Drosophila melanogaster: one gene and its partners. The protein of the gene in region 2 interacts with the protein of the main gene of each other region in a pairwise test. Each region holds a gene or a part of one and is shown on either strand. Other genes may lie near its edges.

What was found.
Region 1: the proteins of Ada2b (region 2) and Ada3 interact in a two-hybrid assay, tested with the Drosophila melanogaster proteins (4 studies listed by BioGRID).
Region 3: the proteins of Ada2b (region 2) and Sf3b5 interact in a two-hybrid assay, tested with the Drosophila melanogaster proteins (one study listed by BioGRID).
Region 4: the proteins of Ada2b (region 2) and Gcn5 interact in a two-hybrid assay, tested with the Drosophila melanogaster proteins (4 studies listed by BioGRID).

The regions. Positions count from the first base shown.
Region 1 is NC_004354.4:18,082,934-18,090,853, forward strand, and holds Ada3 (transcriptional adaptor 3), read left to right. Parts: upstream 1-2,827; 5' UTR 2,828-2,978; coding exon 2,979-4,649; coding exon of another isoform or gene 4,650-4,745; 3' UTR 4,746-5,485; downstream 5,486-7,920. Other genes in the region: Swt1 RNA endoribonuclease, read right to left, coding at 6,075-6,298, 6,362-6,991, 7,050-7,304, 7,384-7,489.
Region 2 is NT_033777.3:8,235,783-8,244,001, reverse strand, and holds Ada2b (transcriptional adaptor 2b), read left to right. Parts: upstream 1-3,486; 5' UTR 3,487-3,578; coding exon 3,579-3,692; intron 3,693-4,395; coding exon 4,396-5,271; intron 5,272-5,749; coding exon of another isoform or gene 5,750-5,819; coding exon 5,820-5,899; intron 5,900-5,966; coding exon 5,967-6,564; 3' UTR 6,565-6,888; downstream 6,889-8,219. Other genes in the region: CG9636 (uncharacterized protein), read left to right, coding at 467-780, 838-1,084, 1,156-1,322, 1,426-1,612; PolI (DNA polymerase iota), read right to left, coding at 7,459-8,219. UniProt on the Drosophila melanogaster protein: Component of several Gcn5-containing histone acetyltransferase complexes that regulate nucleosome organization; involved in acetylation of histone H3, particularly on Lys-10 (H3K9ac) and Lys-15 (H3K14ac).
Region 3 is NT_033777.3:9,012,752-9,018,291, reverse strand, and holds Sf3b5 (splicing factor 3b subunit 5), read left to right. Parts: upstream 1-2,950; 5' UTR 2,951-3,027; coding exon 3,028-3,285; 3' UTR 3,286-3,320; downstream 3,321-5,540. Other genes in the region: tgo (tango), read left to right, coding at 1-538; CG11986 (uncharacterized protein), read right to left, coding at 1,571-1,957, 2,024-2,723, 2,773-2,792; Kcmf1 (potassium channel modulatory factor 1), read left to right, coding at 4,961-4,976, 5,031-5,455. UniProt on the Drosophila melanogaster protein: Involved in pre-mRNA splicing as component of spliceosome. As part of the spliceosome complex, plays a role in the regulation of spermatogonial differentiation.
Region 4 is NT_037436.4:12,519,713-12,527,820, forward strand, and holds Gcn5 (Gcn5 acetyltransferase), read right to left. Parts: upstream 4,303-8,108; 5' UTR 4,192-4,302; coding exon 2,933-4,191; intron 2,879-2,932; coding exon 2,226-2,878; intron 2,164-2,225; coding exon 1,634-2,163; 3' UTR 1,417-1,633; downstream 1-1,416. Other genes in the region: ver (verrocchio), read left to right, coding at 4,729-5,373; eIF2beta (eukaryotic translation initiation factor 2 subunit beta), read right to left, coding at 5,442-5,965, 6,274-6,673, 6,877-6,891; nst (nesthocker), read right to left, coding at 7,919-8,020, 8,090-8,108.

The DNA of each region.
Region 1 (7,920 bases), on a different chromosome or scaffold from region 2:
CCGCATAACGAGTTAAGCAAATTGGAAAATTTTGTCGCCAGTTCAAACAGCAAACGTATAAGATACAGATAGAGATCTGGATGGGACACTGTTTTAATCAATTGCACAAATATTTGCGTCGCCAACTGTTGCTGTCGTATTTTTCTTGCCATTTAAGCCTCTCATATAACGGCTGCCCTTCCTCGATTTCTGGCCGGAACTTATGTTCACATAATACCCTACACAGCAAAAAAAAAATAATTCTTAAAATTATATCTCATCTTGATAATAAGTACAACTTTGTTATCTAAATCTAATTATCAACATTATGCAGATATTCAAGCTTTATAAATATAGCCTCTTTTGTTTCCGTTTAATTTTGATATTTATTTATAATTATCAATTGAATTAGCTGCTCAGTAGATATTAAATTATCGTAAATAGTCATTGTTCATGTCGAAAAATAATTAAGGCACTTAAATTTATCACTAAGAAGTCTAAAATATGAGTATCAATGGCCCGATCCCTAGGTGAGTTATGGAAACAAGTTGATTGATTAAACCGTTTAAGTTCTTGTTGTAAATCTCAACAAAATGCTGATTAAATGGGAATTACAACATTTCTTATCAGCTATGTATATATCTAATTGAATTTAATGCGGTTTTGATGCACTGATACGTTGATACGGATACGCTGATAATGTTTTCCCCTCACTTAGTTGATTATCATTCCCAGCTGAGCAACCGATGGTCAATACTACCTGGGCGATAATTGATGAGGGGGAGGGAGGGCGTGGCACTGGCTGGCGGTCAATTAACGTCAACAGTGGAGTCTAAAATTAGATGGGCTCGCTGATTGATTGGCCATCTAGCTTATGGCCAACAATGGTCATAATCGTAATGGATGGTAGGAGCTGCGCTCTGATCGATCGACATAGCCGGTGGGTGCATCGCTGAAGCTATCCCCGATCATCTCAGGGCTGCGACCTTATCGCCACTATCGCCGGTGGTTACAGATTTCTCTTCTCCGGTTTAATTGGCACTGATAACGAGCCGACTGGCCTGCGACTGGGCTTATAAAACATGTGCTAGTGCCGTTTTCAAACAACAGCTGACACACAAAAGCCCCATAATCGCTGAGACATCGCCGGAACGGAACACATCGACGACGACGACGACACACGTAGACGCAAATATTTGATCAATAAAACAAGAGCGGAGGGTTTGTTCAGGTTTTGGCGGCACTGCAAATACCCTTACCCGCCCGCGGTTATTGTTCGACATATTGTTCTAGATATTATGTGCAATCCACGATGGGATTATCTCGCAAAACAAACGTGTTTGTGTGTACACTATCCTTTCTATGACGAGATATAAATTCAAATTAGCTACGATTTTCAGTTGTTCTATCTACCAGATGATATTCACATTGCCAAGATTGCAAATAGCAAAAACAAAGAATTAACTAAAGAAACAAAGAACTATATAGACTGATGATCACTTTTTACTTGAGATAATAGATGGGGGAAGCTTGTATTTATCTTTGTATTGAAGAACAAACAAAAGAAACTCGAAACGAATATATCACTTCTCTTTAATGTACACATCTTATGGAATACAAAACATGAAACCAAGCTTAAATAAAACACTTTTGTCCGCTGTTCATTTATATTAAATTGTTTTCACTGTTTATTTTAGGATCTTTAGAACCGAAACTCTCGGGGATCGAATTTTAACTTAAACAATACACTTCGCACTTTTTGATTGTAAAATAGACAAGTCGAAGTTAAGTTAATTGGCGTAGAACGAAAATAAAAAACTTTTGCAGTTCGGTGATAGATCATAGCTTAAAGGTGGCATTGCAAACCTCTTCTGATAGCGAAAATGCCCAGTTGGGAAAGTGTAGTCAAATCGAAGGGAAACAGCGTTTTGAAGCTGGGATATTTGTGCATATGTCGGCACGACTGAACCCAACTAAACCGAACTGAATCGCTGGATGTTGGCTTTTGATTTTCGTTGATTCCCGCCCGCGGGGAGGGGGGGTGTGGTCGTGAGCAGCGAAGGGGGCGTGGCGGCTGAGCGTCAATTCGACTTGTCTTGTGATTTGCGCCTCACAATTGGACAAACGAGGCGCAATTGGAGGCAACCAGTCCGAGATTATCGGATGCTTCGATGTTTTGGGTGCTTGGATGTTCAAATGTTTGGATGTGTTTGCATGCTTTGTGGGATTTTGGGGGGGTGGGGTTTGGGAAATGGGTGTTCAATTACATAAAATTACATACATACACTGCAGTTTGCACTTGCAGTTCGTCTGCGGAAGGGGGGGAATGGGTCTACTCTAACATCGCAAGCTGCTCCCACTGGCCATTACAAATTGTCAACAGTCGCTGATTTGTTAAGTACACTGCTTATCACCGAAATAGCGCGCATATCACTAAAAAATTCAGACGACGACGGGCGAAATGCGAACGCCAAACAACAACAAAGAACTGAACAAAAAAGCAAAGTATTGGTAAGCACGCGCGCTACGCGGCCACCAGTGTTGCACAGCGCTGGAGCAGCTCTGTTGTGCACGATCACTGTTATAGTTGCAGAGAGTATTTTTCACTATTTTGTGGATAAAATCAAGTGGTATGAAAATGTATCCATGCGATAATGTTCCGTTATCTTCAATTGCTGAAATAAAGTCAAATAAACAGTTTCAATTACTGCTAAAGTTAATTAATGAAATGCTAGTTAAGTATGTCTTAAATTATAAATATTTAGCTACTCATGAGAATTTTTTTTGTTTGGCCCACTGTGCATAACCCGCGCGTGTAGCCCATTCCAGTATTTTACCATCTTGTACATTAGTATTTACCCGTCTTCCGCTACGGTCACACTGCCATATCGACGCAAAACAAATTGCGATTTTCACAACACAAGAAAAGCAGGAAAAACAGCAAATATATCCGCAATCTAGCTAACACACAGGTCCCCAACCAGTCGCAGTCGCGTTCCATGAGTGCGAACCTGAAGAATATCAAACTGGCCCACTTCAGTGGTTCGCTCGGTTCCGGTGGCTTTGGCATCTCTGCGTCATCCGGAGGAGCTGGAAAACTGCCCACAAATGGCACAGGTGGCGGCAAATCCGCCCCAACGAGCACCTTCCTGGACTCCGAGGTGCTGGCCACGCCCGGCGGCGTCGTTATACCAATAATTCGCACTCGGGACGTGCCCAAATTGCTGCCCACCATTGCAGCGGCACTGCAGCGTCCGGCGGATGATCATTTGGCGGCCGAGGATCTGGATGCAGTGCAACTGGAGCTGGAACAGATGCTCTCCAATGTGGCGCTGCGCACGCGCGTCCTGAAAGCGGAGTATGATAGCCTCGACAAGGATGAGAAGCGCCAGGATCGAAGAAAGCTCGACCGTGTGCCTGGATCGCCACCTTGTCCGGCTAGCATGCTCAACGGCTTGCTGGGCATCGGCAGCAACTCGTCGACGAGTCTGGGCAGCCCGCTGGGCGGCGGAGGCGCCTCATCCTCTAGCCAATCGAAGCGCAAGCGGGATGAGCCAACGGGCGTGCGCAAAAAGCACTCTTCGATGACCATTCTCAAGCAACAGGGCGTTTCCGGCGGCACCTCGAAGCACCAGGCCAAGAACAGCCCCTTGGTCGTGCACACCGACGACAGCATGGACTATCTGCCCACACTGGCGGCCGCCAATGCCTCTGGATCCGTGCTGCCGCATCACCAGCCGCTGCCGCAGCTACCGAAAATGACGGTGCCCAAGAACGATACGCCCAACAAGTTCTGGCTATCCGTGGAGCCCTACTGCATGCCTCTAACCAACGAGGATCTGCGCCTAATCGATGACCTGCTGGAGCAGTATTGGGGTCCACTGGTGCCGCCAGTGCCACCTCTGGGTCCCCACTACTCCACAGTTTGGGCCCAGGAGGATATAAAGGCGCTGCAGCCGGGCGGAGCTCGAATTAAATCGAACAATTCCAGCGGAATGCTCAAAAAGGCCGAAGGCATGGTGGATGAGAGCATCACTGGTCCACTCACCCAGCGTTTGGTGTCCGCCTTAATGGAGGAGTCCCTGATGACGCTGCCCAGCGAACAGGCCGCCGTGGGCGAGCACAGCAACAGCACCACGAGCAGCAGCAACGAGAACACCCACTCGCACTCCTCGTCCTCGGCAAATGCTGCCGCAGCAGCTGCTTCCGGGAACTTTCGATCTCTCGCCATGATGAAACACGGCGTGGGCATCGAACAGCGCCTGAAGAAGACTCTCATCGAGAACGGACTGATCGATGCCAGTGAGTTTGCGGCCCACGAAGACGTGGACGAGGTGCTGATGGAGATCAAGCGCGTAACGACCGAAATCAGCACCATTTCGCAGTTTAACAGCGAGGAATTGAAGCGACTGCGTGCCGTTGCCAGTGAGGAAATCAAGCGCATTGCCATCAAACAGAAATTGGACATGGTGGACCAGGAGATACTCGAGTGCTACAAGCGAATGCTGCAGTATCGGGCCAAGCGCAAGGGCCACACCATCGAGGAGAAGCAGGAGATACTGCGGCTGACCAACGAGCAGCGCCTACTTGCGGATCAGCTGGAGCGTATGCAGATGCATCTGCCCTGCATCGGCGGCTCCGGCAACTCCCTGTTAGAGCCAAAGATGTAGGACAGGAGCCTGGCCTGGGGCTGGTGCCAGCTAATGGCCATGCATCAGGCAAAGAGGCAGGTCCGCGACGCTAGCCTCAAGCTGCAGTGCGTCTGAAGGAGCTGCTCCTCCTTACTCGCCACTCCTTTCATTTCGCCAGACTGTAAATTAGCCACGCTATTCGACACGTACACGTAGCCTCTAGTGTCCGCAATCCAAGTTGTGGACGTTTTGGGAAGATGCGCTCATGGTGGCGGAAAATGTTTTGCATAAGTTTTCCTCGAGTTTTGGCATTCGTTTTCCCCAAATCGAACGCCACTTTTGAGTCGTTTTCGACTAGCTTCCAAACCCGTATTCTTATCTTCGTCACCAGACTGTACATTAACAAAGATACATTAGCTCATAGAATGTAGTGTTCAAGATTAAAGTGAAATTAATTATTTAGATAAGATCTTCAAGTGGCGGAGAGTAGCGTTTGCGTATTTTAAACTGTTCTTTTACAAAATCATAATTTCCCTTTCCTTGCTTAGTAACGTATTCCGTATTCTGTAAGCCTACAGTTTTTTGCCAATTTGTTTGTAATTGCCTGAAAATTAAATGGATATCCGTAGATTTTACATGCTAAATGCTAAATTTGATTTTGTGTACATAAAAGTGGAGGGTGAGATTCGCATTATTCGCTAAATGAACTGAAAAACTTTCCGCTACTGGAATTTCCCAAAATTTTACGAGCACGTTGTTTTCCTCATGTCTTTCGCAACTATAAATATTGATTCACCCTATTTAACACTCCCAAATACATACACTTTGTATAGCTTAAGTTATCGCGCGGCAATAAAGTCGTCACTATCGAGAGTAAAGCACAGAATTTTCCACCATGGGAGTGAGTTTGGGAGGAGAGAAACCACCGCGCTGGGCGAACGCTGCGTACGCTTTGAGCTCGATCTGGCCGACGAAGCGGGCAAGTGAACTCCAGCGGATGTGGGGAATCCTCTGCCGTTGCTTCGATCTTGTTTGCCCAGCCGATAAGGCGCAATCAAAGTCGGCAACTCCAGCGTACGGCTAATTAAAGCCAAACAAGCGAGCCGGCCATCTTCGATCGGAGGAAGCCCTTCCGGGCCACGCGGATTGGCTATCTCTAGAACGCTAATCGCCAGGCAAATATATCCAGAAACAAACTTTATTATACGTAGCAAATGGCAGTCAAATCTGATCTTCTAATATGTGCAAGTTTTTAGTCTTGGGTGAACACGTCGTCAGTGGCCTTCCTCTGAATGTATGCTAGATGATGTTTGTGGGTATAAAGATTCATTGTACTTCATGTATGCCGCGGTGCATCTTGCTTGACTGGTCGATCCCTTTCGCCCGCCACCCGATCCCGTATCACAAACGCAGTCACAGTCTTTCGTATACTAAATGTAAGGTGGGAGCTCGGACGGCATCGAGTTAATCGCCGAAGCCAGCGAACTCATCCACATAGGTGGACATCAGATCAGAGCGACAGGAGACCTGAATGTTGGAGGCATTGGCCTTGAGCCGAAGGTTCGCGTCGTTGGTGAGCAGGATCATGTGGGGAACCTGCGCCTGCAGCTGCAGGCAGCAATTCAAAATGCTGTCATCCGGGCAGTCGATCTTGATCAGGTGATCCGCCTCCTCCAAAGCGGATTGAGCTGCAACAAAGATAATACACATAGGTAAGTTCCAACGATTTACATACACAATCCACGACCCACCTTGTATTTGAAAGCTTTCGTCGAACTTGGTGTTCAAAAAGCGTATTGCTCGCATGGCAATCACACGCTGCAGGCAGTCCGACTGGTACTTGCTCTTTAGCTTGTCCAGCTCTTTGATTACTATGTACGGAAGGTACAGCATGCTGCCCACCGTGCCCGGCAGCACCACATCGGTCAGTCTCTCCACGAACTTGTGGTTGTGTATGAGGACGTTGGTGTCCAGCACAAAGTACATGTAATCCTCAAGCCTTGGGGGCAGCTCCTCGGCATCGGCCGCCTGCAGCATCAATATAGTGTCGTCCTCTTCCTTAGCCTCATCCTGACCTTTCTGTGGCGCCTCCTCTTCAATGGACTCCGCCGGCAGCATCAATAGAGTGTCGTCCCCTTTCTTAGCCTCATCCTGATCATTCTGTGCCGCCTCCTCTTCAATAGACTCCTGCCATTCCATGGGCTCGACCTCCATATCGCTGGCCGTCGAGCCATCAAATGCACTTGGATTTGTGATGTTGCAGGCTTCTGGTTGTTTTTCTATCACCTCTTCGTTGATCTTGGCCACAATATTGTTGTTGCGCTCCTCATATAGCTGCTTCTGCTGCAGCGAAGCTCTTAACAGCATGAGACGCTGGTAGGCTAGGGAGACGATAAGGAGAACATGGGATATGAGTAACTATATGCACCGGGCACTCACCAGTTTGGGTACGTCCCGCCTTCAGGCGATTGGCATCGACCAGGGCTTTTGGCTTTTCCCAGGCATTCATCGCCACCTTAGGCGGAAACTTCAGGAGTCGCTGGGGCGTAGATGTGGACGCACTTGATCGACGAGATGCGGAGGAACTGTGGGTGATCCGCTTGGTGGTCCCCTGCTCCTTCTCGTTGTCCTGCACCCGCTTTAGTTGGCCCTGCAGGCGCTTGAGGCGGTCCTGGGCGGGATGCTGGCTCACTCCTTGCCATATTGCGTGGAAAAGTGGAGTTGAATCTTGGTTCTGGCATTCTGGCAAACGCGCAGTTTGCATGGGTTTTACCATTTGACGGACGTGGCGTGCTGATGATCCTAACCAGCTGGTCGTCGTCCAACGGCCTCAGATTGGAAGACTTTGGCGTGTGCTTACTTTCTCCACCGAGCGACATATTGTGTTCTTTAACATTTGATTTCTAGGAAGTACTCATTTATTTTGTATTTCAATAGGCAATCTGACTTAGAGGTGGAGAAACATCGATGACATCATCGATATCATCGATCTTTTCAAACAATCACAAGCATCGATGTTTTTCGAGGAATCATCGATGTTCTTCCATACATCGGAGGACAAAAGTATATAAATTGGGGGTATAAATTAAATTCGGATATAACTTTGTTATGATTTATTTAAAATACTCCTTATTTATATAAGCAATATTTTTTTTTAATTATTATTTATTAAGTGAAGTAATAAGAAATATTAAAAATGAAAATAATCTTAAATTAAACAGAAACAATGTTTTGTTTTTATTTAAAGCATAAATGTTTATGTTCAAATTAATTTAAGTTATAAACCATAAAATAAATTAAATGAGTATAT
Region 2 (8,219 bases):
CGCACCGTGATTGATATCGGTTAGCAAGAGTTTAATTTCTAAATTTTTAACTTTTACGTTTATAACCGCCCAGTATAATTACTTGAAATATATTATAGTATAAAAATTAGCAAATTACCGATCGTCAATATAACTCATTAAATTCGAAGCCACTTATCGATAGACTTCTGTTCCTTATATCCCAATCGATAGGAGCAGCCTGTGTATCGGAGTATTATTGATTGCAGCAGGAAGAAGCAAAAGAAAGGCGCAGCTAGCTAAATCAAAACTATTCAAAACGGAATTTGCAATAAAACTAAATTATAATTCAGTAATACGACTGTCAGAGGACATGCTCTAAGTTCCGGGGAAGTCCCCATCTAGTGAGTTTCAGCATTTTGAGTGACGCCCTGCGTGGGAAACTTTTTGATTACCGCCGATCCAGCAAGAGACACTTCGAGAAGTCCATTTAAACTATATAGCCATTATGACCAATTTAGAGAAGCAGCACGAGATGGTGAAGCGTAGCCTGGTGCAGTTTATCAGCGGCCACATTCCGGGTGCCGACTTTAGTGTTGTGGACGAAATCGTGCTTTCGTACATTATTTCGATTTTGGAGGAGGCATCCCAGGATCCATGCTTCGATGTTGAGGGCTTTGTGGAGATGATGGGAGCCTACTTCGAGGAGTTTTCAACCATTGACCAGGGCATCATCTGTGACTGGATCTACAAGCTGGCCAATGAGCTTACCGATATGGAGAAAACCCAGGAAAACCCAGACGCCGTCAACTTATCGCTAAAGTACGTTTTCATTCTCATTCCTATGCCAGAAACATTTAATATAAAATATTTTTACAGCTCCCTGAGCCTCTCCAGCATTATTCCGGAGTCCAAGCTGCGTGCTCGCAACTCGTCAACTTCCGAAAAAGACGAGCTCTCATCGAACAGCAGCAGCAGTGGCGGCTGTGGCGGCAACAAGCGTTCCCAACATCTTTCGGAGACTAGCGATGGAGGTTCCACCGACAGCTCCAGCTCCACTTGCGACTACTTCCTGGACGAGACTGAGGTGCTCCAGGAAATGTTTCCGGATTCGGCAATAGCCGAGGTAAGTATTAGTTTATGGTGAAATTTAAAGAATTTTGTAATACTGTGTAATGAATTTAAATCCATTTCTAGATCAAACACTGCATCGCAATTTCCAAGGGGGACATCGATAGCGCCACCCAGATTCTCTTGCATCGTCAAGAGACGAACCAGTGTATTACTGACAAGTCGCATACTACTTATATGAAGAAGAATGTAATCGTCGACGATAATGAACTCAAGAATCGTATTATCGCTAGGTAAGTGTACACCTTAAAAAGCAAATAAACATAGCAGTATATTGAAGTGGATATCAACTTAAAATAGCCAAACGTAAAATATTATTTTTTTGACCCCATCTAGGTACTCCTATGTTGACAAGAATGCCACCCAGCGCGAGTACAAGCCGGTGGTACCGAAGATGGAGCCTCGCAAGCTGGTTCGCTACCGGGACAATAAGATCGTATCGCTTAAGGGCGAGCGGTACACCGAGATTAAGCGTGACGAAGATGCTGAGTTAAAAAAACCCAAGAAGCAGATTCAACCGTAACTAAAGAGGAACAAAACCCTCTTCAAGTATTTTATCAAAAAGCAAATTAATACACACCCCAATAACTTATCCGCACCCACGAAAACGATCTTCGCCAGTAGCAGTAGCTGCAGATCCAACGTCACCAACAACAGCAGCCATCCCGAAATCGAGCACAGTGTGTGCAATCATATGCATATTGTTGGGCTGAGCGCCGCCAAAAGCCATGTCAGCACCTATTCCAGCTTCACCACACCAGTGATCCCCGCCAAGCTTAGCCAATGTTTAGACGCTTCCCAAGACGATGACGATGAGCAGCGAGAGTTTAGAGACAAAGACGAGACACCGAGCACAGCGAATCGGTTCCCATATCCGAGTGAGTATGGTGCAGAGTTTGTGGCATCTGCCGGCATGTTGGTCATACTGTTGCTAGTTGGCCATTGCCACAGGACCTTGAGCCCTCATCGCGCCAATGCCCATGACAAAGACACAAAGACTTTACATACCAAATTAGTTGATAGTTATGCTTTAGGACTACTCGCTTATGCAAATTTTGAGAGCCCATCCATCGCGGCCGCCTGCTTATGAGTCTCGATGCTGGGAGCAGGCGGTTCAGACGGATCTGGACATGGATCTGTTTCCGTTGCCAGTCGTCAATTATGACGACTGGGGTCGCGCCTGCGCTGTGACTTTTCCTTAGTTCCTTACGCAAGCGAATTCAAATCGAACCGTATCTGTGAAAATCGTGAATCTCAAACTCTTGAATGTCCTCGAACAGTATTGTTAAACATACTTCAGTCCCTAGGATCAGACGCAGGTGCGACACCAAAACCGAATTTGGCGCTCAAATAGACTTATTTAGACGTTTTTAGGTACTCGAATTGATAAATTTTGTTGGCCGTGTGCGTGTTTTTGAAAAGCGCAGCTGCACAAGTAACTTGCCATATCTGTTTAAGATCTGTTAACCCATTTTGTATCGTGTAACTCGTTTTGTTTTTCTCTGGTCCAAGCTAACTAGCAAGAGTAAACTAGCAACAATGCCACCAAAGCCACATGCAACACAAACTAGTCCTCACCGCCCACTGAGATATCTGGAACCCATAACAATTCGGCTACTGCTCGGTGTAAGACAGCAATACTAACAATAATATAAACGTATTCACCATATGAACTAATCGAATAATCAACTATTTATACAGCGTAGCCTACCCCAAATCCTTCCCAATGATTGTAATGATTGTAACCTACAATATCTCGGCAGTCCCACGCCCTATTCATGTTAGATGTAAGCAACCGAAATATTTTTCGGCAGTTATTACTTTTACACTTTTTGTTTGAAACAAAAGATATTTACCCATTTTATATTTTTTTTGTAACTCAGAATTTAGCTTAAGTTTTTAATCCTGACCACCGCTTAAATTTACGTATCGAACTGCATTTAAGCACATGAGTTTTTTATATTTTTATTCAGCACCACGCTACAAATGTTTCAACCATCACATATTCGTATTTATGTTTACCTTGTTTTGGTTTGATATGCACTTCTTTTATTTTAGTTTTATTTTATATATATTAATATTATTTTTTGTGATAATTTAAAAAAGGCAAAACACTCGAATTAAACTTTTAAAATAATTAAATAAACTACTATCAATATTTAACGCATAAACATTAGAGTTTTGAACATGTGCCTAATGTTTGAAATTTGTATTCTATATTTAATGTGTTGGTACTTTTGGTAAGTAGTATAATTTAGAAATTAACTATAATTCAGAGATTCAACAGAATTATGAAAATTAGCTAAAAAGGCTTTAAGACTAGCTATATAGGCGGCACTGTTCCGATGAACTGGTTCGGTTCGTTGGCCGTACATATAAGAATTCTCAGTAGAGCAATATGGCGTTGACTTCGCGTCTGGTCACATTACTGGCATAGGTTTTTTTCGCACAACTCATAATTGTCGTGAAAATCCAGGTTTTGGCCCAAAATGACCACAATCGCGGATTTATTCACAAAGTATAATTGCACAAATTGCCAGGATGATATTCAGGGCATTCGAGTGCACTGCGCGGAGTGCGAAAACTTCGATTTGTGTCTGCAAGTAAGTAACTCACACATACACGCCGTCGAGCGACGCACGTATACATGTTGCAGTAGGGTGGTTCGCTCTTTTTGAGGTTCTAGATACTTGTATATAGATTTGTAAATAATAAAAATCAGTTATTTTAACAAAATATTCTTGAATCACCCTCTTTGGATGGTCAAACTAATGGCCATATGGCCTCAATCCTCTAAATTAACGTCACCCAGATCTTGACAAGAAAAATATTTGCTTTAACTTTTTGTTAATTTAAAGGAAATTTGTTTATTGATTTTGGTAAATAGGTAGACTATCGTAGTTAATTTAATTAAAAATTACTTCCTTACGAATTAGCAGTGTCATTTTTATTTAGTTAAATGCCATAAATTAAAAAGAAAAAAATGTCAAAATAAGTGTCTGAATCTTGTATTAAAAAAAGGCCTGACAAAGCGTAAATTTAGGGAATATGAAATATGTTTCTGTTTTAATTTCCTAATCAAATTATTTTTATCGAGGAACTATTTACACGTTTTCTTTGTCAACATAATCGACCCACCCTGTTACACCCACACTCGTACAATCTAGAGATGCGTCGCCAATTTGGAACCAAAAACTGACTCATCTAGACATTCAAATAATACATACACACAACCGGCAATTTCACCATATTGATTAAAAAACAGCTGACTCTGTATTTATATTGTATTGTTTATTTTTTGCGCAGTGCTTTGCCGCAGGTGCGGAGATCGGCGCCCATCAAAACAACCACTCCTACCAGTTCATGGACACCGGCACTTCCATATTGAGTGTATTTCGTGGAAAGGGGGCGTGGACGGCACGAGAGGAAATCCGCCTGTTGGATGCAATCGAGCAGTACGGCTTTGGAAACTGGGAGGACATTAGCAAGCACATTGAGACGAAGTCAGCGGAGGATGCCAAAGAGGAGTACGTGAATAAGTTTGTAAATGGCACGATTGGAAGGGCCACTTGGACGCCGGCCCAGAGCCAGAGACCCCGCCTTATCGATCACACTGGAGACGACGACGCTGGTCCTCTGGGCACCAATGCTCTCTCTACCTTGCCTCCACTGGAAATCAACTCCGATGAGGCCATGCAGCTGGGCTACATGCCCAACAGGGACAGCTTTGAGCGGGAGTACGATCCCACGGCAGAGCAACTGATCTCGAACATCTCATTAAGCTCCGAGGATACGGAGGTGGATGTGATGCTTAAGCTGGCCCACGTTGACATATACACCCGCCGACTCAGAGAGCGTGCTCGCAGGAAACGGATGGTCAGGGACTATCAATTAGTATCAAATTTCTTCCGAAACAGAAATTACGCTCAGCAACAAGGACTCACCAAGGAGCAGCGCGAGTTTCGGGACAGATTTCGGGTCTACGCCCAGTTCTACACGTGTAACGAGTATGAGCGGCTATTGGGATCACTGGAGCGCGAAAAGGAACTGCGCATTCGACAGTCAGAGCTGTACCGATACCGGTATAATGGCCTGACCAAAATCGCGGAATGCACACATTTCGAGCAGCACGCCGCAACAGCGACGCACCGCTCTACAGGACCATATGGCCATGGCAAGACCGTAAGTTTAAGGCTCCGCAACAGGGGTGCCGAAATCGAACTAACCATTAAATATTTTATTTGGTCTTGAAAATCCGAACTTTTTGGAACTTTGTTATTTTTTTTTTTATTATTAAAATCCAAACATTACCTTTTCTTTCGATTGTTTCACAAAAATTAAAAGAGGTGTTAGGTGACCGGAACCGGTAGCTTTATAATTTTATCAACAATGAGTAGATTAACTTAAATTGAAAGAAAACAAATGATTTAAGTTGAATGTATAGATAAAAGTTTGGATAAATCGATTTGGAATACTTAATACAGAATATTAAATGGTCAAATTGGCTAGTTTCGATTTCATTCCCCTTGGAGTAAGCTTTTCCCACTGAGAATGCATGACGAGTTGAATATCGTGTGTTCTGCCTTGCTTTAACCGTCGTCCTTACCTGAACTGACCCAACTCTTACAATCGCTTTTCCGTCTTGTCTCACGATATTCAGCTCCACTGCATAATAAACGCGCCAAACAACGAGCGTTCGAATGGTTCTATAAGACAATGTTTAACCACAGGACCACACGCATACCTCCAATGGAAGTCATCGGCCGCCAAGCTCTTCCTTGCACTCCCCACAACCGAATCTCAGAAAGGTGTAAGTATTTTGGCAAAAAATTGCAATTACCTTAGAACTTGAATAATTCGGTTTTTCGTTTATTTAGCGAAATGTCAAGCGGCGGCGAGGCAAGTTCAAATTCAATCGCACCAAGAAACACGCTCCACATCGCCGACCCGACCTGCTCCGGCGCATTATTGCCCAGCAAAAACTACTTGGATAGCTGTCGGGGATCGTCGGCAGCTACGATGCTGCAGACGACGGGAATGGTAATGGGGGTAACAGTGGACTCGGGAGCGACGACGGGAGTGACTTCCACGGCTACGACGATGGCGAATCTGCCAACGAACTCGGCGAAGGGAAGCCAACAACATCTGCAGCCGCTGCAGCAGCATCCTCAGCTCCTGCAAAGCGGCAACCAGCACAAAATGCAAAACGAGGCCGCCGGCGGAGGCAGTGATCAGGTGCCCAGCATGAGCCTGAAATTGCGCACCCAGCTGGAGGAACTAAAACATCTGCCACAGCCGCCGGGCAGTGAACTGCTCAGTCACAACGAGCTGGATCTGTGCAAGAAGCATAATATTACGCCCACCACCTACCTCTCGGTTAAGACTGTCTGCTTGAGCGGAGCACCATCGTTGGGTAGTCCTATGGAGACTTCGCTGCGCAAGTTCTTTATCAAGTGCGGCTGGCTGAGCCACTGAACATCTTCCAACTTCCCGCTCCCCTTCGATTAAGAGCCACATGCATTTCCAAGGACTTCACTTTATTTTTGTATTAGTTAGAATAGGTTAAAGACATTTTTATACTGTTCAACTGTCGTTGGCATTTTCATCAAGGTAAAAACTACAAAACTGAAAATCAATTTACTTGTATCAAGTCAAGCTCAATTACAATAAGTGTTGTTCCTTTGTGTGAGATGTCGGGATTCAGATATTGTGTATTAACTAAGCTTAAGTAGGGGACCCAACCAATTGAATATGTATGATATGAATTGTAAATGAAGTAATAAATGTAATAGTGAATGTACAACAAGGACGCGACTTGTTTCTCGGATCTCACAGCTGGGAGACCGCTTTGGACTGAATGCCGCTAGGATATGTAAGAAGTAAGGTATTGAGTAAGCCTCTGATAGCGATAATACCGCGTTGAGTATTTATATTCGTATATTATTTCTTATGGTAGCTAGTTTTCTAGGCAAGATTCTGAACAATGCATTTGAACGTAATTCATTAAAGCCCATGAGAGCATGATAATCAATGTACTAGGCTGAGGAATGGAAAACAATGCTGGAAAAAATATATAAATATCTAATATGTTAACACATATGGAATGTTTTATAAATTAGCGAAGATTAAAACTTGTTAAATGAAAATGCGGTTATCTAATGACATTCTTCGGTATTATAAACTTAACAAAATCACTCATTCAGTTCAAGAAACCCACTAGTTATTTATCCTAGCTTATGTTCGTCCAATGCGGCACCCTAAAGCATGCACTCTGTAACCGTATACCTACAAAAATATATCATATATTTAAACAAATTTATTCTCTTTACCATTATAACTAAAAACGATGTGATGCTCGGATACACTGCATCACTTATTCCGGAGAAAGTAGCGATACAAAGTGTTCTTTTGTCCGCTGGCGGTTGTGGCAGTTGCTGGGGCTCCACTGGCGATAGCTGCGCTTGTAGCGGCACCGGTCCCATTCGTTTGCTCAACAGCCGCCACCAGGGAGCTGCGCCACGATGCGATCAACTCCGTCTGCAGCTCCACGGGTAGCTCTTTGAACACCTCGGCATCCACACCCGCTGGACAAACTATATTCGTTAGGGCATCACACGTGGCCGTACTACTACTGCTGGTGACCACCGCTGTCGTGGTGGGTGAGGGAAATGGCAAGGTTGTTGTGCTGGGTGCGCTCATGGCTATGGAGTCGTCCATGGGAGAAGGAAGCGGCGAGGATGCCGTAGAACTAGCATTTGAGCTCAAGCGACTGGCAGTGCGCGTCGTAACAAAGCGTAGACTGCCGTCGATCCGTTGCAGCAACGTGTTTGGTGGCTGGACGGTGCGGAAGCGAGGCGCAGGCGCGGACGTAGAGGTAGAAGGCGTGGTGCTCATGGGAAAGTCTTTCTCGCTATCCCGCGAGTTGAGGCGCAGATCACAGACACGCAGTTTGCTGGGCGAAGCTACTTCGGCGGCGGAATCTCCCACATCCGCCGCCAAGCGGCTGCGCTTAGAAACAAGTAATCGGCCAATGCGACTCTTTTTCGGCGAGGGTTCCACCTCAGTCTCAGAGAAGTCGCTGAAATCCGAATTGGTGGCCGCTGATTCGGAACCATTATCAAGTAGCATGG
Region 3 (5,540 bases), 780 kb from region 2:
AGGATCGGCGCAAACCACACCAGTCGGATATACCTACGACACCACACACTCGCCGTACAGTGCTGGCGGACCATCACCGTTGGCTAAGATACCCAAGTCTGGCACCTCACCCACGCCGGTGGCACCCAACTCCTGGGCAGCACTGCGTCCCCAGCAGCAACAACAGCAGCAGCAGCCCGTGACCGAAGGCTATCAGTATCAGCAGACGAGTCCGGCCAGGTCGCCGAGCGGTCCAACCTATACACAATTGAGTGCCGGAAACGGAAATCGCCAGCAAGCGCAGCCAGGAGCATATCAGGCGGGACCACCACCGCCACCCAATGCGCCGGGAATGTGGGACTGGCAGCAGGCTGGAGGACACCCGCATCCGCCGCACCCAACGGCGCATCCGCACCATCCGCACGCTCATCCCGGTGGACCAGCAGGAGCAGGACAGCCACAGGGTCAGGAGTTCTCAGATATGCTGCAGATGTTGGATCACACGCCGACCACGTTTGAGGATCTGAATATCAATATGTTCAGCACGCCGTTCGAGTAATACCCACACCATTTCTTTCGATTCCCACTCTTCCCCCGTCCCGCAACTTAATCTGTGTCTCTCTTAACCACTTCTCAAGTGCAATCCATCTTACATTGTTGAAATAATTCAGCCAAACGCATGCAAATTGTAATCTCGTAAATAGCATTTTAAGTACATAGGGGTAGTCACGTACACGATTCAGATATCTTTATTTTTGTGTGCTACGTCTTCTTCACTTCCACCTCCCGTATCCATTAGCCCGCCCGCCACCGCCTCCACTTAACCCGCTCATTGGCCGTGCAAAAGTATTTACAATTAAGGCCTTACGATTGTTCGTAACTAAAGGCAATGTGTTTACACCGCTATATAGCCCATGAATTCTAAACTTTCTCATCGATTATATAGGATTAAGTTCATATGTGGACACGCTGTGTGCAGAGTATTCATTTGTATTTGTCATTGAGCATTTTAAAGTTCATACAACGTATAAATATATAAATAATTAAACAATTCGTAGCCTAATATACCACAAATTGATAGTTGTAAGCAACTCAGCAAGTGTACCACTTCCACGCTTTTCCCGCGAACAACATTGACACCATTTCCCATTAATTTTCGCTCATTTTTCGCCAAGGCAATCAGACGTAGACGAGCAAACAATATACGGTCGATATGTACACTTTACATGCTTTATGTGCAGCTTTTCATTTTGTTTTAATTGCATTTTATGCCGCGACAACAAAAACTTCCAAGCTCAATACAGTGGCGCTCAAAATTGAATCGCACTCGCAGAAATGAGACCATTTAATTAATTACGTCAAGTTCAAACATAACATTAGTTAGTTAACCTCACTTCGAGAGAACAAATTCTAAACAACTTTTTAGTCGCTAAGTCCCAACATTTGTAAGTAAGCTCACCACAACGATGATAATGCTTAAAACTTTGGTTATTGAGAATAAAAATTTTGGTTTTTACTGAAAATAAACTTAATGTACTACAAACTATGGAACTTTAGTTACTGATGAGGTTTATCTTTTGCCCGATTTCATCTAGCTGCCGCTGCTCTGCGGGGGAGCTGCCGTACGATTCCTCTTAAAGTCCCTGAATCTGGGTCGCTTGGCGGGCCTCTCTACGGGTGAGCCGTCAGCGGAGGTCCCTCCCATGGTCGTAGCTTCTTTTTCCTGATCCTCATCGTCGCTCTGTTTTGCTTTGATTTGATCTTCCCGCTTCTTACGGGCATTCAGCCAAGACATCATCGTTTTGTTCATCGGTGGCTTTGCGGGCTTAGCCGCCAATTCGATCGGCTTGTTGCACTCCTCGCTTTTGTTTCGCGAGTTGTTTACCAGCTTGGTAACACGATGCCACTGCAGTTCGGTAGCCGGACGCAATGTAGCCAAGGCCTCCTTGTCGCTAACTCGCTTAAAGTCCAGCCAATCCTAGAATATGCGAGGATGGGTAAATTGGACCTGGATTAACGAAGGATTAACAAATGCTTTACTCACATTCATCTGCTGCTCGGTTTCCAGGATCGCTGGCATGCGGTAGTGCATCCAGGACATAATTTTGCTGGACTGGAAGGTGATAATACTGTAGCTGTACATCTTGTCGCCACTTTCATCCTCCCAGACGTCAAAAAGTCCAGCCATTCGCAAAAGCTTCACATCCTGGGGCGACCATGTATTCTTGTCGTAGATCTTCACATCCGCCGCCTGGGGTACGAATACCAGGTAAGCCTCACGCTCCGATGGCTTCTTCGCAGGTCCAGCCGTCTGCCACTCATAGAATCCTTCGCAAATAACTACACACCGCTGACCTCGCTTGAAGGGACCGCGATAGAGCTTGGAGTCCATCAGGTGTTCCAGACGGCAATTGTTGGTGGTAAGGCCATGCCGCCGATAGTCACCCTTGTGCCAAAAGGGAATCATGCCCCACATCATGGGCGTTACCACGCGGGCGCACTCTTGATCCTCGGCGTCTGAAAAATGAGCTGCGGACACGATCACGGGCGTAATATCAGTAGGGGCTATGTTGTAGGAGGCCTGGTAGCGTCTACCCAGGTTGTATTCCGCCCTCCACTCGGGAGTCTCCATTTCGGATCCTTCCCCATCTTTCATATCATCTTTCTCTTTGAAATCCGGCTCCTTTCGAGTAGATTTTTTTGGATATTTACAGGCACAAATTACCTGATCAGGGTCTAGAGTTCTGAAGAGGCGTTTAATAGAAATGGTGAAAGAAAAAATTATATACCTACAGACAGGTGCGTCCACACATTGCTTATCAAAGTACTTGATAAATGAATAATTTATAAATGACAGCGAAATGTAAACAAATATTACGATTTTAAATACCAAGTTTGCCGCCTGTGTACTAAAATACCAAAGTGTCATGTACTAAAGTAATAAAAATACCAACATACAAAATTTCTGGCCACACCAAGACGCAAACAACAAAATAACACACTGCACATTAACTATTCCTCGCCTAATACTGAAACAACTTAAGCAAAATGGGTGAACGCTACAATATCCACAGCCAGCTGGAGCATCTACAAAGCAAGTACATCGGAACAGGACACGCGGATACCACAAAGTTCGAGTGGCTAACAAATCAACATCGCGACTCCTTGGCCAGCTACATGGGTCACTACGATATTCTCAACTACTTTGCCATAGCGGAAAATGAATCGAAGGCACGAGTGCGATTTAATCTGATGGAGCGAATGCTGCAGCCATGTGGGCCACCACCAGAAAAGCTAGAGGATTAAGAAAAACTATTTTAATAATAAAGAAAATAATTGACAAGACAATGTAATTTTCCAAGGGTGGATTTTCGGATAAATTCCAACTTCTGTAGTTATCGACATTCGGTATTTTGCGCTCAAGCGGCAAACGGTCGCACTGCAGGTCAGGAAAAGCTTTTCACTCGATATAATATAACTTATTTTCGTTTCAATTGTTCATTTTCGAGGTCTAGTGTTATAAAGTTATCGTAAAGTAGCCAATGCCGCACCAAAGTAAAGTACGTTGTCGTGTTATCCCCAAAATAGAACGAATCAATAACTTATCAAATCCCTAACGAAATCGGTGTGAAGCAAAACGGTAAAACTGCAATACAGCAGCCCCACAACAACAATAACACATCGCGAGCGGAGCATCTTGTGCGAAATATCGCGGCGAACAAAAGAGATCAGATCCCAGGCGCAATTTGCAATTGCGTAGAACAGAATACACATATTGGTGTCTGCACATAGACACATAGCACACCAGTGCAAAATGCTTGTGTATATGTCAAGATGGGTGTACGAAAATTGCGCGCCGATGAACAATGTGCCGAAAAACAAGAGCAAGATACAGACAACGCATTAGCATATAAATAGTGACAAAACTAAAACAGACCTACTGTTATTTCCCAGCTGCCCAAATCAGCCTGTCTGCCCAAAGTTCTTGCAAAAGCTCTTCTTAACCAAATGGGGACCGCGTCTATTTGTACGGCCGCCACTGTGCCATGACTGGCGGCGTTGCCAGATGTATGTGAGAAAAAGCGTAATTCACCAACTGAGTGCTCATGACATGATTAACGCGAAAAGTCTGCATAATTCCCCGTGTGTGTGAAGTGGATGCAAATGTTTATAAACAATAGCTGTAATAATAATAACACGAAATAATAATGAGCAATTGCTAACTGAGACCCTCAGTAAATACGGCAACACTCGCGCATATCTGCGCTTTGCTTTTCGGGAGCAGGGCCAGGAGAAGAGGTTTTCGGTGAGGGGGCAGAGGCGGTTGCACAAAAAGCCCACGACATCGTCGAGTTGAAAATTTTCGCGAAACCGAAAAAGTTAAAAATAAATGTTTACTGTGCAGCGGTATCGCTGCTGCGGGGAAAATCGCAATTAACCCCTCGACGCCCCGCTGAAGTCCTATTGCTAAGTGTAATTATTCGATGGCTCGCGTACGATTGTATTGAATAATTCGTTGCCTCATTGAAGAGGGTTGTGGCGGGGGCCGAGTGCAGGGAGCCCCTCTCTTTATGTGCGCCTCTCTTCTCTAGCCTTTTGCTGGGCAAACGGAATGGCGAAAAGAAAGAACCGTAATCGCGGGCAATACAAAAGAAGAGAACTAGGAAAGAGCAGGGAAAACAAAAGAAGGAAATGCCATGTCCTTCTCCCTGCAATTTTTGCCCTGCAATTTCAGTATCCTTTTTATCCGCTTTACTTTTCCTTTCTAATGTGAGGAGTATAACAACTGATGAATAATTGTCGCCACTGCTTTCTTGTAGATCCTCTCAATCTAAATTCAAAAACTGGAATCCTCCGAAGCCCCGCAAGGAACCCACATAAAACCAGCACAGCTGGAAGTTAAAAGCAAGTCAATCTTAAGCGGGAGACGCTCTCCTGATCGCTTGGAAGTTGAAGCCAAGCCTACTGCCGCTGCCGAATAATGAGTCGACATGAAGGTGAGTCCTTGAAGCTTGCAGAAACCCTGATAGTAACCATTTATCCCATCCCAGGTGTCAGCTGCGATTCATGTCTCAAGAGCAACTTCAACGGACGGCGCTACAAGTGCTTGATCTGCTATGACTACGATCTGTGTGCCGATTGCTACGAGGATGGCGTCACCTCCACGCGCCATTTGGTCGAGCATCCCATGCAGTGCATCCTCACCCGCTCCGATATCGAGCTGTACTTTGGCGGCGAGATGCTAGCCTCCGACCAGCCGCAGAGCTTCACCTGTCCCTACTGCAAGAAGATGGGCTTCAGCGACGCCACCCTGCTGGAGCATGTCTCCGCCGAGCACACGGAGACCAGTCTAGAGGTGGTCTGCCCCGTATGTGCCGGTCTGCCGGGCGGCGAGCCGAATCTAGTCACAGATGACTTTGCCGGTCACCTCACCCTGGAGCATCGCCAGGGACCGCGCGAGCTGATTTCCTTTCTGATATCCTTTTTCAAACAGACACATCATACATTAATTGCGCGCAATGCCCAACTGCATCCATACAAAAGGCTTGTTCTTGGTATTT
Region 4 (8,108 bases), on a different chromosome or scaffold from region 2:
GAAAGCAACCATTTAGCAAGGAGAGGAGCAAGGAGATTTGGCGGAGGAGCCGATAACAACAATAATGAAATTAATGGAGTAAACCAATTAAATCCATGGAATTCCCAAATCTAAAATAAAAGCTAACTTAATACGTTTTTATTTGAATGAAAGAGTAACAAATCGATTGTAATATTGTATTTCTTGTGGGCGTAAAACATCGACAAACGCTCGACCCGTTTTACTAGCATTTAAAACAACTATTATTTAAGAGCATTTTAAACATGAAAAAAAGAAAATAAAATCGGCAGCTACGCGCTTCTATCAAAAGCACAATTGTAAAAAGTCAATCCAGCTCAGCTGCAATGAATGAATGAAGTCTCCCGAATGAAAATGTTAAACGAAAAAACCCCAACAAAAAAAAAAAAAGAAAACAACCAATCATTAGCAAATTTGTCCAAAAAGAAAAGCCCAAATTTTCGGTTTTCGTACAGTTTATTTTCTCTGATCTCGGTTGGGCAAGGGAAATTATACTTACGATTCGAATCGATTTGAAAAGATACGATACCTATGGTGATGATGTTCTCAATGTAAATGTTAAGATTGATTGTGTGATTCACTGGCTGCTGCGCTTGAAATCGAGGCCTTCAAAAGCGAGTAAAGTACGCGTATCTCCAGCTGAATCCCTTTAGATATTTGTTTGTTATCCTTGTATCCAGATATATATTTGTATTCAGCACAAGCCCAGTCCAGTTTGGCCAGTTAACACGCTGGCAGAGAGAAGAGGGATGAGGATGAGGATGAGCTGGCGGAGTCACCACAAACATTTCAATATTATGTAATCATAAATTATGTATCTAATTGTATGTAATATGTATATCTCCATATATGCTCACTCTGATTAGCTCCACATATGTATGTTTGTATATAAATACGCAATTATCGAGTTGAACACTGAAAAGAAAGCACGTTTCGCAAGTAATGGCTAAATTGTAAAGACTACCACGTATGGAAATTAAAAACTAAATATACCATGTAATAAAGGATAATTGAATTCAAGCAGTAAGCAACTACGGTTAACATTTTCATTGTACCATCGGCATATCCACGATATCCTTTGCCATTTCCGGTGCAGCCTTGGAAAGGATGAAACGCAGATGTGGAGCCACGTATTTATGTATGCATGAGCCTTTGTACAATGTCCTAGAGATTCGATTAAACTCCCGCCCCTAAGATATAATTTTATAACTGAAATTATTTACTAAACCAAAATAAAAACAAATGAGAAGAACTCTAACTTTAAAAGCATGCGAAACAATGAATGTAGGAAATCAAAAGTGAAATAAAGAGTTAAGACAAAAACGTAGTGGTTACACATCATTTGACCAGCATTGGTTTTGTCCACTGGATGAAGGGAGAGTGGGTGGATTCGTGGTTAATGAGTAGGCGATAGATCTGATTTATTCTTCCCAAAGACACAACGCGTCTGTGAACAAGACGGACACACTGAGCTTAACCTAAGTATCTATAACGACAAACTAACTATATGGGTTTTTCTTTAGCTGGGGAGAATTCTAAAAATAAATAGAATTAATATAATAATTTAGTTCGATTAAATGTTCGGCCTTATGCAGGGCTCCTCGGAATCACTGCATCATTTGTCCCACAGCCCCAGCTCGCGCATCTTGGTCTGGAAGTAGCGCTCCAGGGAGTTGGCACACCGATAATACTCGGTGTCGGGCGAATTGTAGAACCGACAGTTGGAGAAAATGCGCGCCATGTCCGCCATGAACAGGCGGCGCGTTTGGTAGTAACCCTTCTTCAGGCGCTCGCCCATGGTCTTCAGGTCCATGGGATATTTAATGTGATCGTAGTAGTCCGGAACTTCGGCCGCGGTCACCGGGCGCAGGAAGGGCCAGGCGGTGGTGTGCTGGCGCACGGATTGCAGCACGGATGCAAAGGACGTGGCCAGCTTCTCCGGATCGGTGGATTCCTCGAGGGGTCGCGATGAGCGCGCCGGACGATTTTGCGGCTTCCAACCGATCTCCCGCAGACCAGGAATCGATTCCACGGGAATCACGGGCAGGCCCTCCTTGAAGCAAGTCAAGCCGGGTCTTACTTTCTGCACCTCGTTGTGGCGCTGTGCGATCAGCTCCTTCAGAATCTCGCTCTGACTGCGAATTACTGAAAGGAAGAATTGGAGTGTAAAATGGGACCATGGATTCCTTGTCCATTCTTTGACTAACCAGCTATGAACTGCGTGTTCACAATGCTTGGATGCAGCTCGCAGTGCATGAGAGTAGCACTATCGTACTCCTTGATGTAGCCCGCATAAACTGGTCGCGCCAATTTGATGTCCTTGGAGAAACCCTGCTTCTTGAAGTACCCGATGGCATCGCAATCGGCGAATGTGAGCAGATGCTTGATACCCCTCTGTATGCTGTAGTCCTTCAAGTGGTTCATCAAGTGCGTGCCATAGCCCTTAACTTGTTCCGACATGGTGACCGCGCAGAAAACGATCTCGGTGAAGCCTTGCGACGGAAACGGGCGGAAACAGATGCCGCCGATGGGTTGGTTTTCCTTGATGAGCGCCAGTGTTTTGTGCTTGGTGTCGAAAACCAACTGGCTGATGTACTCGCGCGGCATCTCGGGTAGCTGATAGGCAAATACGAGCTGCAGGCCCAGTAGCCACAAAACAGTCTGCTTGTCCACCGGTTTGGTCAGCGAATTGCCCACCACATGGAACTCAATGGCTCGCTTCTGCTCCTCCGCCTTGACGTTCTCATCCCGCGACACATTAACCGGAAAGAGAATTTCCGCTTTGTTGGTGGTCTTCGACTCGGACACCGATTTCATGGCGCGCATTACTACATCCGCAGGCAGGTCATCCAAATTCTCACTGCGGCAGGACGATTAGTAAATGTATTGAAAGAAGAAAAAACTGATTACCAACCTGCTTGGACGATCGGTGGGCTCCTTTTTGATTCGCTTGTGGAGCGGTTCACCCACACTGGTCCTCTTGTTTCCACCAATGCTTGCTGCACTGGGACCAATGGGTACATTTGCCACCTCCTGGTTACGCTTTCTCTGCTGGATGACAAAGGAATTTGACGGGCGGTAGCTGGTATCCCAGATGGGCGAATCATCCTTGAGCAATTCGGCGCGAAGCGTTTCCAAAAACTTCGGCATCAGCGTGATGATCGAACGCTTGTCCTCGGGAAAGCGATCCCGCTCGGAGATGCACTTCTTTTTCAGCTGCTGCGACATGCACTGGAAAACGGTGCGCAGGAGCGTTCGTCCAAACACTAGGGACGTTTCACATTGGCGCAGGGAGTTACAGAAGGCGGGCACGTGGCAGAACACCAACCACCTGGTGTAGTTGATTTTGTAGTTAGAGGCATCCTCGTGGGTGAGATCTCCTCTCCTGGTCGACGGCGATTCAAAGTTGTAGTGGTTCAGAAAGTTCAAGAACGTCTTGGCCACCTCGGTCATGGTTTGGAGTTCAGGCGTGCTCAGGTGATTGTACTTGTAGAAGACCAACGAGAGCACAGCCTTGGTGATGCACGGCGTCTCGAATGGTGGATCGCCGAGAGGACCCCGGATGACCGCCTGCTGGCGCGTGAGGACGCACTGGCGCAGCAAACGGAAGAGGTACTGGTACACCTTCTTGGTGTCCTCGTCCTCGACGCGCTGCATGGACATGAATAGGTTCTCCATGTCTATAATGGCGCCCAGTAGCTCGTTCATGCTGGAACTGGATATATTGTCCAGATGGGCTATGTGCGATCTCAGCGAATGGCGACAGCTGGTGTTGCGGCACTCCTCGTTGAACTCCGGACAGTAGGAGGACTCGACGTCACGGTGGCGATTTTCCTGCGGTGTCTTCCAGCCGGTGCAACGGCATCCCTCAGACTGGCAGGCGGAATACATCGACAATTTGGCCAGTTTCTGTGGCACGGGCAGATTGAAGACCTTTTGCTTTCGCTGCTGAATGCGCTGTAGGCTGTTCTGGCGCGTTCCCTCTGCCGGCACACTGCCAGCGCCGGACGCAGCTCCTCCGTGTCCTGGATTCTGGGCGCTGCCAGCGGCTCCAGATGCACCAGCGGTTGCTGCGCCATTCGCTGCCTGCTGCTGCTGTTGCGCCGCAGCGTTGCCCGTGTTGTTACCATCGATTGGTTGGCTTTTTATCGTTATGGATGGACCACCAGACATTCCAAGATCGGCAGATATTGCGATTCTCTTCGTTAGTTTTGAACAAAGTGTACTTTTCCTTAAATTTCACAAGCGATACAACGAGTTTGCCCACTTGCTGTGCGCAATGATGGTGCTGCCAACCTGGCGTTTTGTGCAAATGAATTTCTCTCGGTGGTGAAATAATGGTTGAATATATATATTCTATTAACGATTTTACGTTTGTCCATATAGTGTATACTCGTATTATCTGGTGACAATGTTTTTAGACTTTGAATTTAATAAGTAAAAATTAGCAGGGGCGTAGTCAAAACAACTGAAAATTTGTAAGGGGGTTAAAAAGAAAATATTGCGCGGTTCTGCAAATTAATGTGACCCTGGTTTTAACTTATAATACAATTGTGTGAAAATTGCTCACAAAATTAATTTTAATTAATATTATTTGTAAGAAAATACGAAGTCTACGCCCATGCTCACAACTGTTTTTTTTTTTGGCGCTAATGCAAAATGCACTGCAATAAAGAAATCCCCTTTGAAATCGCAGACTAAGCAAATAGAATGGATTTTAATCAGAGTTTCGAGGACATAGAAAGCCAGCTGGATAACTTCGTGATACGCAAGAATCAACAGAGTGAAAAGTCCACGGGCAAATGTGGTCCGGAGGTCCACGACAACGTGCCGCTGACCATATCCCAGATTGAGCGCGCAACTCAGGATCCGGAGAACGAGAATGTGTTCATCACAGACGACGTGCATCCGATTCACTTCTGCACCTGCATCATCTACGCCTTTGTAACTGGCAATGGAACGCACAACGAGTCGTTCATGAAGTTCATGATCGATGATGGCACCGGCTCCCTGGAGGCCAGCATCACCAAAAAACCCTTCAATGGACGCGTGATCAGCAGCCTGTACAGTGAAGCCAGTTCGCTGGCCTCGTCCGAGGCCTACAAGAGCATTGCCGTGAGCATGATGCGGCTGCTGCAGGTCTCCATGGAGTACATTGATCCCACGCGCATCTCGAGGGGCCACAGCCTATTCCTGCGCGGTCGTCCGAATAGGTTCCGCGGCAAGATGGGTCTGGACGCTTTTCAGTTCTTCATAGACAGCGGCCGATCGCGGAATATGGAAATTGGCTTCGTAGACTACCTAACCGACTGGCAACGAAGGCATAAAACAATGCAGAATACAACAAATAAATAGTATCGTTGGTTTTTTGTATTGAAATTTTACTGGTAATAAAAATTCAAAAAGTTTTAAATAAGGAGAATTTAGGTTGTTTTTGCTCGTATGGCGGCACGTTTGCCGGTGACAGCCTGGAAACCTGACTTAATGCTGGCCACCGAGCAGCGGGAGCCACAGGATTCGCACTGCAGGAAGAAGAGACGCGTGTCCTTCTGCAATATCGTTTCCGGGGAGCGGCAGGTGTGACAGGTGACGTACTCCTTGATGTAGCGACGCAGCACATTCTCGATCTGTTTGGGCTGGAAACGGCCCTTGATGATCAGCTGCTGGTTGCCGTCCATGGAGCCACTGGTACCCAACTCGGCCAGCAGGAAATCGAGCAGATGCTTGGGCAGGCGATGCAGCGTTTTCGCAATGTCCATGAAGTTGGCAAAGGAGGTCTTCTTGGTTCCCACGCGCAGCACCTGCGGCGGTCGCATCACGAACTTTGGCTTTCGGCCGGCGGCCATGTCCGGATTCTTGTCGAGAATGATTTCGAAGACCCGCTTCAGCAACTCGTCGTATGTGTAATCGCGGTCGGAGCCAAACCAGGTTGAGCTGTTGTCCTCGTCTGTAAACGGATGAAAACGTTATTTAAAAGGGTATGGTATAAGCTTATTTGCTAAGTGAGAGCTTTGAAATCTGGAGTCTATTTAAAGTTGGAACAGCTACATGCTAACTCACTGGCTAAGCATTTCTAGTTCACTTCATACACTGAGTTTTAATGCTTCGGAAAAGGCGAAAGCCAAGTTATACACTTTAAGAATCGTATAGCTTTGCCTTTGTCAAGTGACAACAAGCTTATATGGCTGCCAATCTTGGTTGGGATGATTCTATAACCCTAAGCTTCCCTGGCTGCTCTGCAATTCGTCACCGTACCGTTCTCTTTGTCTTCGCTCTTGTCGTCGTCCGCTTGGTCCGCAAACAGCTCGTCCAGTTCCTTCTTCTTGCTCTTCTTCTTCTTTTTGGCCATCGAGAAGTCCATGTCCAGATTGATCTCCTCCTCCTCGGGCTCCTCGCTGGCGGCCACATCATCGCCGCCAAAGCTGGGTATGGCCGCTTCGATTTCGTCCATGTTGAAGGGCTTCTTCTTCTTTTTCTTCTTCTTGCCGAAACTCTCCAGATCTAGATTATCCTCCTCGGCGGCGGCACCTCCTTCCGCCGATGCCTCATCCTGGGGATCCTCCTTCTTGGTGTCATCCTCCAGACCCAATGCCGCGTCCAGATCGAACGTGGTCTTCTTCTTCTTCTTCTTTTTCAGCAAAGTGGGATCAAAACCCTGCGAAAATCATTGGAATTTCAATATGGTTTAAATCCGGATCAAGCAAACATAACCTCAATGTTCGCCCAGTTCTCATACACAAATGTGTAAATACACACATACACATACGCAAACAAGGGCGCACATGTACGATAATATGCGAATTTTCCACGCAAGTTTTCCGCGTATGAAACGCACTAGCCGGTGTTCCGGGAACTTACGTCTTCCGCGTCCATTGTGTCTGGGCTGTTTGAATACTAGTTGACTGGAAACTAATTTTGTTTTAACTAAAAAAACTGCAATTGCATCAGCCAAAGTGACAGCACGGCAATCAGACGGTGTGACCGGCTGAGTTTTAGACGAGTAAACCATCCGGCATGCGAAAATATACTTTTAATACCATTTGCATAGATATACCGAGTATTAATAATATTCAAGTAAAACTTTTTTATAAACAATTGCTAAATTAGTTAGCTAAATTAGATAACTTTCGAACTACGAACAGTTAACATTCAATAACTCAACTCGACTTTTGAACGTATGCTTTAATTAACACAAGTATAACAGTTTTGAAGTATTTGCTTACATTGTAACAGTTAACAGTAGTCCTTATCAATTACTGTCCTACATGTCTCCGCTACTGACCGCCAGATGGCGCGTTTCAATTCTGCCAGCTCCATTAACATTTATTAAAATGTTAAGTTTAAAAATAAAAGTTGGCAAAATTTTAATTTATTTGCCGGGACAGTGATTTAAATTTGCCATAAATTGTGCGTACAGCATAGTAAATTCCAAATGAAGTGAAAACTGATTTATATTCGACCTAAAGTAAAAGGATCTTTAGATTGTTTAAAAAATACTTTTATAGAAAATAGCAATACAAACTTGATTAGGTTCATTAATCTCTACTATCAATTCTTTTATAATTTCAATAGTTACCGCTAGCAGCTCAACAAAAAAATCAACGTAGCGGTTGCATTTTCATTAAATTCTTCAATTACAAAATAGCGAAGGACATAAAATTGCAACTTTCACAATGTACATATGTATAAATAAACTTGAAAAGAACTTTATAAATAATGGCAAAAAATATGTCATCTTTAGAACACAAAAGACAGTGAACATTTGCAGAATAAATGCGTTTGAGAGTTAAGTTGTTTTTTTTTTAAGTTATTGAGCACCTTAGAGTAAAGAGATTTATTGCTCCATCCAGGATCTGTGTCAATTGTCGATTCCCGTGAGAGGTTAGTTCGTCATTCCGCTCTACAGGTGGGCACTGCTGTTGGGCTTCGTCAATGGGGGGCCAACTCCGCCGGCCAGTTTCTGGACCAGCAGACCCACTTCGTAGGCAAGATTATCGGTGTCCTGTCGTAAAAAAAAGATAGTAAGTAGAGTGTTTTGATCTAGTGCTAAGAGTTAACTTATAAGCCTTACCTCTTTGGTGGCTGCTTCG